Linked DNA regions of Kluyveromyces lactis. The protein of the gene in region 1 interacts with the protein of each later gene in a biochemical or structural test. Links are inferred from orthologs where the notes say so. Each region holds a gene or a part of one and is shown on either strand. Other genes may lie near its edges.

Evidence for each region.
Region 2: the proteins of ORC1 (region 1) and ORC6 form a complex in vitro, tested with the Saccharomyces cerevisiae proteins (3 studies listed by BioGRID). The link is inferred for Kluyveromyces lactis from reciprocal best matches to the Saccharomyces cerevisiae genes ORC1 and ORC6.
Region 3: the proteins of ORC1 (region 1) and MCM7 form a complex in vitro, tested with the Saccharomyces cerevisiae proteins (2 studies listed by BioGRID). The link is inferred for Kluyveromyces lactis from reciprocal best matches to the Saccharomyces cerevisiae genes ORC1 and MCM7.

Annotation. Positions count from the first base shown.
Region 1 is NC_006038.1:453,253-457,565, reverse strand, and holds ORC1 (origin recognition complex subunit 1), read right to left. Parts: upstream 2,850-4,313; coding exon 189-2,849; downstream 1-188. Other genes in the region: ECM7 (Ecm7p), read left to right, coding at 3,322-4,313. UniProt on the Saccharomyces cerevisiae protein: Component of the origin recognition complex (ORC) that binds origins of replication. It has a role in both chromosomal replication and mating type transcriptional silencing. Binds to the ARS consensus sequence (ACS) of origins of replication.
Region 2 is NC_006042.1:2,246,166-2,249,344, forward strand, and holds ORC6 (origin recognition complex subunit 6), read right to left. Parts: upstream 1,752-3,179; coding exon 501-1,751; downstream 1-500. Other genes in the region: NMA111 (Nma111p), read right to left, coding at 1-241; histone methyltransferase SET1, read left to right, coding at 2,096-3,179.
Region 3 is NC_006041.1:2,065,526-2,069,712, forward strand, and holds MCM7 (DNA replication licensing factor MCM7), read right to left. Parts: upstream 2,801-4,187; coding exon 320-2,800; downstream 1-319. Other genes in the region: AAH1 (adenine deaminase), read left to right, coding at 1-58; KLLA0_E23211g (uncharacterized protein), read left to right, coding at 4,122-4,187. UniProt on the Saccharomyces cerevisiae protein: Acts as a component of the MCM2-7 complex (MCM complex) which is the putative replicative helicase essential for 'once per cell cycle' DNA replication initiation and elongation in eukaryotic cells.

The DNA.
Region 1 (4,313 bases):
CGAAGCGGGAGGGTAAAGAATGAATAAACACGGTAAAATAGTAGTTAAAAAAATGCATCCTTTATTATATCTTTCTATCTTATAATTAAATAGTTGAAAAAGCAGTTTCATATTCTACTTAACCGCTACGCTACATGACAACCTAAGTAGCAATTATAATAGCAGCAAAGGCGTCTTGAAGGCATATACTAAAATGTCTTCAACATTTCATCTTCATGCAAGCATTGCTCCGCATCTTCCATGGAAATATTTAATTTGATCGTCGAGAGCCTCTCATTCTTCAAATATTGCCTTACTACAACACCTGCATCCAATAATTGCAATAAAATATAGTCCCAAGACACGGCCCTTAACTGTTCCTTTGTATCAACAGAATCATTTTGGAATAAAATCCGTTTCAACTCTAAAATGTATTTGTTATTCCCATTGACATCAATGAGGAGCCTCATTTCTTCTACGATATCACCAAGTTGTACGTCAGTTTGCTTCTTCTTAATTAAATTGATTAATGCGTATAGGAAAAGTTTTCCGCTAAATGACAGACCAGATATGAATTGTTGTTCCGGAGAGGTCGAACTTTCGTTTAATGCCTTGGTAATATGCTTAATTTCTACACTCTGTAATTCTTCATTTCCTGTACCATTGCCACTAGTATCTTTTTTGGAATTGACTAGTCGCTCATATCTAAGCCTCTTTAAGTAATCATTTTCCGCATATTCTACCGCTCTTTTGACCACCTTTAAAGCTCTCCGCACATCACCACTGACACTAGCAATTTTTCTTGATGCAATCTCAATGGCATCAGGATTAATCCTAAGTTTTAGTCGTTTATAGTTAGAGAAGTCTTTTCGCTTTTCTTCTTCATCAGTTTCTATAGTACTACTATCCGGAGAGATCATGTACGAACTCCCTGTCTCCGGGTCGACATAGAAACTAGATTCGTTCAAATATTTAAGTCTCAAATTGATGATTGTTCTAAGCTCTTCATGCGTGTAACCAGTGAACATAATTCTAGTAAAACCAATTCTGGACGAAATCTTGTTACCAAGATGGCGTTCGGGGAGATCTAAGGTGTTTGCGACAGCTACAACAATAAGTTTCGCATTTGAATAGGTAGCCCAGTTAAAGAAGTTGTACATTACATCTTGGCTCTTGCTAACTAATGCATCAAGCTCATCCAATAACACAACGATAGGACGTTTTTTCGTAGCTGGAACTTTGTTAAAATAAAACTCCAGAGATTCCATGGCAGCTCCAGATGTAAGCTTTTCTCCAGATATTTTTTGCCAAAAGACTTCATAACTATCACTTGCTTTGACAATCTTTAAACCATTGATTTCAATGTATTGGAATCTTGGAAGTTCTTTTTGGTCTGCAGATGTCATTAAATCCTTAACTACCTCTCGAACCGTCAAAGTTTTACCAACGCCTGGCGTCCCGGCAATGTAAATACTGGTGCTAGTGCCTGCTTCAATTGCACTGTAAAGTGAGAGGTATATACTTGCAAATTCATTTTCTCTTGCCGGAAGATAATTGTCGAAATCAGCAGCTTTGACAATTTCTTCTTTGCTATTCCTTGAGTTCAATTGCTTCTTCACCTTAGAAAAAATAGTCTCCATTTTGCCTTTAGCAGAAACTGTTCTGAATCTCTCCTCTAATGCAGCTATATCCAAATCATTATTATGCCTTTGGAAAATATCGTTCAAGTCAGGAATATCCTTCGGATTCTTATACCGTTTGGAAAATGGAGTATATGCCTTTTTAGCGCGCACTATATTATTCTTAAAGAACTTTCTAGGAGATGAATGAACTGCTGATGGCTGCAATGGAGTCTGTGATTTTACTGGTGAAATGGGTATATCTGGTTTAATAGATCTCACCTTTTTCTTGGCAGGTTCTACAATTGCAAGCTCTTCTGCAGACTGGTAATCTTCAAACTCTTCATCACTGTCCGAAGAGGATGCGTTTGCAAACTCTTCTTTACTTTCGTGATATTCAGATAAATCCGATTCATTATCTGATATAGCTTCCTTTTCGTTAACAATAGTAGATGCAATGCGTTGGACTTCAGCGTTGGTTTTGCTCACTGTTTGTTGAAAGCTTTTTTTGCTTGGTGTGTTGTCGGACTGCAATTTCGTCGCCACTACCTTCTCTCGTGCGTGGACCTTGGATTTATTTAAAGGTTTTGGAAGCTTGGGTAAAGTAATATCACGCAAATACTCCAGAGACACCTTAGGATTCGAGGAACGTATTTTTTCTTCAAAGAAATGTATATCTAAATCCGCCAGATTAGTTCCTGAAGGCAAGCATGCAGATCGACATAAAAACATATTAGAATCCATTTTCCCTTCATTGACAGAGTCTAAATACTCCTTTTCATTTTTAATATTAGCTACAAATTGCAAGTCCCGTAGATAAATCTCTGAAAGCTCAGCTGTCAAATACAATTCGTTCTTTATCGATTGTGACGCGAAGGTTTCCTCAAAAAATTTGTCACCTTTTTCCTTATTAGTCTCATAAAACTCTCCATCAAGCTGTTTATATCTTTCCGCAGCATTGATCTCGTACCAACTCAAATAGTTCAAACACCAGAGTTCTACGTAATTGCTTGTATTCAATCGCACCTCATGGATCATATACGCTGATAACTCGTCTGCACCCTCTACCTTGCACACAATCGTAACACCAGGATAAAGTCTGACTCCATCGTATCGTACCAAATTAATCACTTCATGTTCTGTAGCATCTCCTCTTCTTCTTCGCCTAGGAGTTTCAGCAATGAGATTCCCCTTCAAGTCTGTCTTCTGTATTTCCCATTGAACTTCAAACTCAGCTAACGTTGACGCCATGCCTAATAAACTCGCTACCACGGAATAAAAAGGAAAAATAATCAGATAACCGTTAAAATGCAGTAATTCCTTCCTAAACTAGTAGTAGTTACTTGCTGGCCAAGTATGTTGAAATGACAGCTACCTGTTTCCGTAGCATTCTTTTATCTCATAGCATATTGGTTGTTACACGGTTCCTCTGTTTACTGAATTAAGATCGATCTTGAAACATCAAATACGTGTAAAATGATACATAGTTTTCCCATTCCTGACGTCTAATTTTAAACCTTGAACCCTGGCAGAAACAGATCAAGAGATTTATCTCAAGAGTGATGACATGATAAACAGAATGAATTCTGCCAGTCAATTAACGAAGGTGAAGCAGATAAACACAGAAGAATAAAGGCAGCTGGCCTGCTGGAAAAAAAATTGAACAATTTCCCACGTTGATAGAGTCATACATAAGAAGCTTTTAGGAGCTTTATAAAAAGAAATGAGGTTTGGAAGTGTCTTGGCGAGGAATATATCGTTATGGAAATACTTAAAAGTGACCCTAGGACACCTCAACGCATTTGATAAGATGATGTTATGGCTGCGAGTTATAACTTCAGTGGGAATTATCGTTTTTGTCCTTGTTTTGACTGCTATTTCTGCCGCATCACCAAATTCGTTATATTTAGGACGATTGGACACTTCAAATGTTAACATTTTGCAGGGACTATTTGATAAGCTCAGCAGTTCTGTTGTCAGTGCAAAACTGTCTGATATTAATAACGGAGCAGGACTCACAACAGCAGAGATTCTTTTACTCACGCGGTATGTAGACTCACAGGTCCACGACGTGCCCGATTATATAAAGACAGGAGTTTACGGATGGTGCAGCATGAAACATGCTTCTCAAGAATTATGGCAGCCTGACGGTACTTGGAAGGAGGAACATAACTCTACAAAGGCTATGACTTGTCACAGGGAAGGAGCGCAATACTTATTGAACTATAGAAAGCTATTAGATGACCTAGGTTTGGGAATAGTGTTAAGTTACGCATACGGATATACTTACAACGATGGTGTTTTGGATCACGACAATGCAGAAAGTGCAAAATACAACAAATTTTTGGCTGCTTTGTCGAGAAGAAAAGTCAACATGGTCAATCTACTTTACGTCGTGGCAGTATTGGAAGTTTTCATATTGGGATCGATTGTCTTGTACTACATGATCAGGAATAGACCTGAACAAACCATGAAAACCAAAATCCTCCTGCATTCTATATCACTAATGAAACTATTGGTGTTTATTTGCTCTTTAGTAGCAGTCATAAACTTTACTATACTATCAATCAACATTCGTCAAAAGATTTCGAACGAACTTGATTCGTTTGGGTTTTCATATCATCTTGGAACTGGTTGGTTCACATGCTTGTGGATCTTTGCATTTTTCAATATTATATCGTGTCTCGTCTGGACGGGTTTCGAGTGGTGCATCAC
Region 2 (3,179 bases), on another chromosome or scaffold:
AGACCACCGACTTAACAACTTTGGAGATAGTTTCTTGCCATTTAGCGTTGTTATTGAATAAAGAGTTGCCTGAATCTATAGGTACATCGTTCACTTCATCATAGTCTTCTTCATAATCAATATCTTCGTCTACACTACTTGTGTTCTGATCGACGTCATTGTCGACCCTCTGTTTCTTGGATTCAAGATCAATGTCTTCAACAGATGATTCGAGTAGGTTTCGCTTCAACTCAACAGTCATTTCACCAGTTACTCGGTACGTACTTCGCAGTTGATTATTCGAAGAGTAATCCGATCTCCAGAGTTCTGACAGACGGTAATGTCTCTCTTCAATTCATCTCATCTGCGCTCTCTATGTTTAGTTATCTTCTTTTTTTTCATCTTGCCGTTCCCTTCGGTAAACGTCAACGTGAAAAATTCATTAGAAAGGTAATGAAAACGTATTGAATGATAAATGCGAAGATGGGGACGGTGAGAAGAAAGGTATCGGAGGAAACCATTCATGTGCCATCTCTTAGACTGAGGTCGACCATAATTCTTCGTTTCCAGTTTGAGTATTGCTCTTCTGATACGACTTCATATTCGTCTTGTAACATGCTGCCTATTCTGACGGCGATAGCGTTATCGAAATCCGATCCATCGTAATAATCGAACTTGACACGGAGTTCTCGGTACCATTTCTCACCGTCTATTAGTTCTTTTGTGATCTTGATAGCTTCCATGATATCTTCATCATTTGTTGTTCTCATTTGTGCCGCCATCTTCTTCATTAGCTTGTTATCGATTGTACTGTCCTGATTTCTCTGTTGGTTGAAGACAACGAACGAGCAAAGAAGTACCAGACCACAAACCAACTGTGTAGGATACGCTAGGTAAGTAGCGTTGTTATTGAATTCGGAAATTATGGTAGCTGTTACTTCTTCAGGAAGTTCAAATTCATTGCACAGAGTCACCAGTTCAGCGGTAGACGGTCTATAGTATTTTTTGTATAGCATGTTCCATTCGTTATACTTACCTCTTTTCTTTCTTGGTGAAGGCGTGTATTTAGAAGGGGAGTCACGAAAGGGTGACTGTCTTAATGGAGATTCAGGATCATCCTCAACTGATCCAAACACTTGTGGTATATTGATCATATCAGTCTTATTCTTCGGGGTTGCTAATATGGGCAACGGAAGGCCATTTTCTGTATCAGCTTCAAACACTAATTTCCTCCGGACACTTGACCTACTCCCTTTGCTAGGTGAAAGATCAACATTCTTCAAGGGCTGGATACCACTTTTAGTTCTTGATTTCGACGGAGTCTGGAATAGCTGTTCTTGTAACGACTTCGGATCTATCCCTGTGAATCTTGCATTTTTAACCGCTGACTTTCTAACCGATGGTGATGCAGTATCATCAAACTTCAGCAATTGTCCTTCGGTATCCTTTTGCGGCGAATGAGGCCATATGTTTCTCTTAAATATATTCACAAGTTTGGATACTTGGTCTGGTGGAAGCGGGATCTTCTCCTGAGAATATGGTAGGTCATTGTCATACTTCTCAGCTAGTTTCTGAAACGCAATCAGTGCACATATATGGCACCGAGCAAGTTCCTCTGAATTCTTCAGCATCACTTTCGATACTGAAACGTTGTATAATGTTGCTGTAGTAGAAGCCACTTTCTTTAACCGTTGGTCTTGCCAGTCAACATTAGAATCATTTTTGACCCCTAATAAATCGGTTACACACGTTCGTACTTGCTGCGTAGACATCTTAAATTATTTCCACGGATTCTTAGCACTCTAAAGTGACTAAAATAGGATCATCTACTCACTTGTTGTATTACACTGGCCCGGAAAAGACATATATCTCATCTCATCTCCATGGACCATTTTTAACATAATATTAAAAACAGTCTTTATGTAGCTTTTTGATCTTTTTCTGATTTTCTCGATTTTCTCCAATATTGAAACAAAATATGGTAAATAATGAAATTGAATATTAATCAAAAGTATCATTATTCGCTTCTCCATCTATAAGTTCAGTTTTGGCAATACTTCTAGTATTTCATCTAGCATAAGTTGCTATTCCAGCGTGTGTGTATATTTTAGTTCTCATGAGTGGGTACTATAATAGACAGTACTCTCATTTTCATGGGAATAATGATCGGTACCAAACCGGACGATATGCATATCAAGAAAATGGGAATAGGTACAAGGGCTTCCAACGGAATGGATCAGGGAACCGAAGATACTCCCGCGAGGGGTTTGGGTCTCAACTTAGGAATAATGAGAACGAATCTCGTCCAATACGGTCGCAGTCGCGTGGTATCAGCGAGATTCCTCGTAATCCCTTCGCAACGCGTCCAGTAGTGAGTGCGAAATACGATCGCGATGAGTTTAATACAAAATATCATTATTACGACATTGTAAGTAAACGACTACGAAATGAATCCAGCTTCAAGAAATGGAAATCTGAGAAGATTCCTGAGCATGGATATGTGACAACAACGGAGTTGATTGCATCGGATAAGCAAAAACCAATACTCATGGCCAGGCAGCCTGAACAAACTTCGGTGGATCCGAGAATACGTCCTATGAATGGGGATGCGGTCTCTGGGTCCATTTCTGCGAAAAAGAGATATAGAAAGCTTAGAAGTGCATTGGTACGCAACTCGCGAATTCCGTATGATTCTTTCTACATTGGTCCTGAACCTCCAAAAGAAATCATAGTATACCCTTCTGCATCTAACCAACAACCAATAGCAGCCGCATTATCTGAAGCAATAATCAAAAACTACTTTAAATCATTTGGTGAAATAGCGCATTTTGAACAGTTCATGGATCCAAATAGTGCATTGCCATTGTACGTCTATCTAATAAAATTCACTGGTCCAGTTTCTCAACCTGATGCTCCATATAAAGCTGCTTATAAGGCATCAGAGAAATTCAAAGACGCACCTTACACAGTATCAGGTATCAAGTTCAATGTCATTTTAAACCAAAATACAGTGTTAAATTCAATAAAGGACAAACTAATCAAACAGAACGCAGCCAGAGTGACAGAAGTGAATAAAGCGAAACGGGCCATTGCAGAGAAATCATCCGGGCAGAAACCTCAAGTAATAAGAGGAGTGCCATACGATTTAACTCAAGTTGTGAACAACAGACCAGTTTTGTTTGTTCCTGCAAAGATTACGT
Region 3 (4,187 bases), on another chromosome or scaffold:
ACAAGAACTACTCTCTGAGGTTTCAGAAGTTGTAAACAAATATGTAAACTTACCTTAGACTAAGTAGTAGATGGCATAAGCTAGGTTTATGCACAAAATAGATAGATTTTGAATTCGACAAATTAATTTTGGTTTTGAAAGATAGACTGTGATTACTTCTGCATCGTTCAGTCTATCTGGGAGAAGAGGCACATTAGAAGTTACTTAAACGTTAGTATATAGTAATACAAATTTGTCGTTAAACTAGGTTTAAAACTAAAATAAGGAATAAAGGCATTATTGGATCAAAACAGATTAGTGGTATGCAGATAGTCAGGTATTATTCCATATCGACATCTTCATCCGGTGTCCTTTGCGTCGAAGGGTTAGTTATATCAGAATTGTCTTCCGTTGTATCATCAATATCGTCAATAAATAGCAAGGTGTTTCCGTCTTCTATTTGATGCCAAACATTAAGATACTCATACTCTTTGATACAGCTTACCAGTTGCAGCATAGTGAAACCTCTTGATCTAATCGTTCTTACAATAGCATCATACGGTAATCTTTTATTAAATCTACCATTTTCAGTCGCCATTTTCTTGATAATTGTGTAAATTCTGGTTGTTGGGTTTTCATCTTCATATGGGTTCTTGCGGTCGCTGTATAATGACTCTTTAGAGACTTCTACCAACCTCAAAGCTTCGTCTACATCTTCAATTTCCACAGTGTCACTGAGCCTTAGTTTTGCCAAGGCCTGTGATAGTCTGATAATTGCAAGTAAAGTTCTAGGTGTTGCTTGCCCAAACGAGAATTTAGAATCCAACGCTTTCTTAGAGTCTTGTCTCATTCTTGTATAAGATAGAACTATGTGTTCATTGACATCAGCTGACAACACAGGTCTCTTAGTCTTGGCGTATGCAATATACTCTCTCATTTCGCTCGAAGGAATTGGTTCGAAACCAAAATCAGGTTGCCTGTCATACATATGAACGTACGTGACGTGTTCTGCTAACTTCTCATCGTTTTCTTTGCTTGGCATATCGAGTAGTAAAAACATGATATCGAATCTAGACAAAAGAGCTGCTGGTAGATTAATATTTTCAAGTGGAGATAACCTTGGATTATACCTTCCGTATAGCGGGTTAGCAGCTGCCAATATGGAGGCTCTGGCATTTAAAGTAGTGTTAATACCTGCCTTAGAAATTGAAATGGTTTGTTGTTCCATAACTTCATGGATAGCAGTTCTATCACTTTCATCCATCTTATCAAATTCATCGATACAACAGATACCGTTATCGGCAAGGACGAGGGCACCACCTTCTAGCACCATTTCATCAGTCACTGGATCCTTCATAACGGCGGCTGTTAGACCTACACCAGAAGAACCCTTACCAGTTGTATAGACACCTCTCGGAGAAATTTTACAGATAGATTTCAATAATTGAGATTTAGCAACACCAGGATCACCCATCAAGCAAATGTTAATATCACCTCTGATTTTTAGACCATCCCCGACTTTTTTTTCAACACCGCCCACTAATAATAACAATAAAGATTTCTTAACATCGAGATTACCGTAAATTTCTGGAGCAATTGATTTAGCCAAACGGTTATAAACATCACCTTGGTTGACGATTTTCGCTACTCTTTCTTTCAATTGATCATCAACTTGGAAAGATGCGAATTTTTTCTTATGCTGGTACACAAACTGTGTCTCTAGGTACGTTTCCGTTAATAGACCAGCTTTCAAAGCACGGAAACCAGTGTATGGTGAAGGTAGATATATACCAGTAACATCTACCACATCACCTGGAATCATGGATCTAGTTAATGGCCCATTAATGTGAATAGTTAATGTCCTTGGGATATGCCCGATGGGCACTTGATCTGATAGTTCTTGAATTTTACATTCTTGGAATGCACTGAACTTTGATGCCCTAGTACTCATGAACAATTGTCCCTTAGTTTGATTTTCGGAACATTGGGCAGAGGGACATTCTATTATTGGGGTAAAAGTTCTTTTATTAACTTCTTGGAACACTTCATGACCGCACTGATCACAAGTATAAGCGTTGACTGTGACACTTGGCTTCACATCAGAGACTCTGGTAATGATACCACGGACTGTAATCAATTTTCCCAAATAAGAGCCTTTAATTTCTCTTACTGACATTGGTTTCAGTTTCCTAGTGGATCTGCTGGTTAACGGTTTAAAATACAAATGATATCTCCTAATCAACGCAGCAGGGAACAAATCAGCGTCCGTAGTGGCCAATTGATCCAAATTGGTTTGAGACTCTTCGCCCATCCCTTGAGCCATTTGTTGGAATTCATCTCTAGTTTCCAAGATATTTCTTTCGTTTCTCAATCTTCGTTGGTGTAAAATGACGTCCAATACATCTGTTTCGTAATCGATATCTTTCGTTGGAGGCGGCAATAGTTCATCTACACAGTTGGAGAAAAGTTCTGTGAACCGCTTAGTGTTTTCCATGATGATACGGTGTAAGTTAACTAAGTTCTTGCCTTGTGCTGCTGTATTTGACGAAGACAAATTTTCAAATTGCTTGGTGCGCTGATAATGGTACACATCGTCCAATTCGATATACAAGATATCTTGTTCTCTATTGGCAATATGTTGCAATTGTTGCAAGTACTTTGGGCCCTGACCAACTTCAGGATCCAAGTTATCGTCATTATCGTTCTCCCCAGTAGAACCGATAGTTTCCTCTTTGTAATGGATCAAGAAATCTTTGATATTATCTTGAGCTACCTCGTAGTCAATTCCGAGATCCAGTGTGGGCAAAACCGATGAAGCCATGGTACTGGTGGTGTTCTGAATCGTTGGTTGGTGTGAGTGGCAGCAGACAGTAGGAAAACTGATAACGGAGAAGTTGTTGAAGATTAGCAGAAAGTGTATGCGTAAATGTTTCAAAGATCAATTGGAAAAACGAAAGTGATTTTTATTTTACAGTTCCTAATCGGGTAGAAGATGAAAGACGCATTACCCGGACACAACCACGTGACAAAACATACCAACATAATTACCCTCCCTCTTATAGTCTATTTTTAATTTGAAATTGCAATTCAATTTTTCAATTTTCAGTACTTTTCATAAACGACCACATTGGCTTGGCTGGACCCCCGGTATAGAGAGGCAGTAACCTCAAAAATTGGGTGAAAACAACCTTAACATTGCATTATCTAAGCCTAACAAGTGTTCAATGGGCCAATCGAGTGGACAATGGATATAGTATAGGAATTTGGCATTCGTAAATGGACACCCCAGTTTCAGAAACTGAAATTCAACATTTCCCCTCGCTCAAAGTGTACCGCCGCCCCTGCCCTCAGGGATAGCCCTTGGTAAACGAGAGGTATGTCATCGCAACGCGTAAACCAGGTGTAATTTATTACCTCCCCGCCCCCCATAAATTGTTTACATTTTACGCGTTGTACCGTACGTAAACGTCAAAAAACGTAAACAAACGCGTAAACCGCACCCTTAAATTTGAGAAATCAATTTAAAAAATCAATTTAGCTCCTTCCCAGTTTACGTGTTGCAAAAATGCACTACATACGGACCGGCATACCAATAGTTTACAGTTTATGCCGTTAAACATCACCGAAGCTAATGTTTATTATTATTACTACTGTGTGGAAAAGGGTACAGGCCCCGGCACAGCCCTATGTGTCGGCGTCGTTCACAATGACACTTAGTCAGACCACATTTATTTCACCGTTTCTCAGTCCACACACTCAAGATTTCGCACAAAACTCTCAGTCCTACACACGTTTCTAAGATGCAAAAGAAAAAGCCAACAAAAAATTCTCAAAATAAAAAAAATTCGCCTAGCTGAGTATCTGCATTGTACTGTAATGTACCTTAAAACTGGAAATCAGGTTAGAACAGCTGTCTCAGACTGACTTTCTGACAGTTACCTCGTTATCTTTAGCATTTTAACTGTTTTTGGTTTGACTTTTTTATGCTTCGTTTAGCCCGAGATTAATATGCACACAGAGTGTTAGTATCGTTACACTAAGATGGTTTTCGGTTCTAGTTTTATATATAAGAAGTATGAAATGTGAATAGTTGAAGATTCGGTTCTTGTGATAGAGTATATTTTATATTAGGATTTAAATATATGTATGTGTATTGTCACGAGGTTAAACACAAACATAAAACTCAAACTATATACATATACACCTAT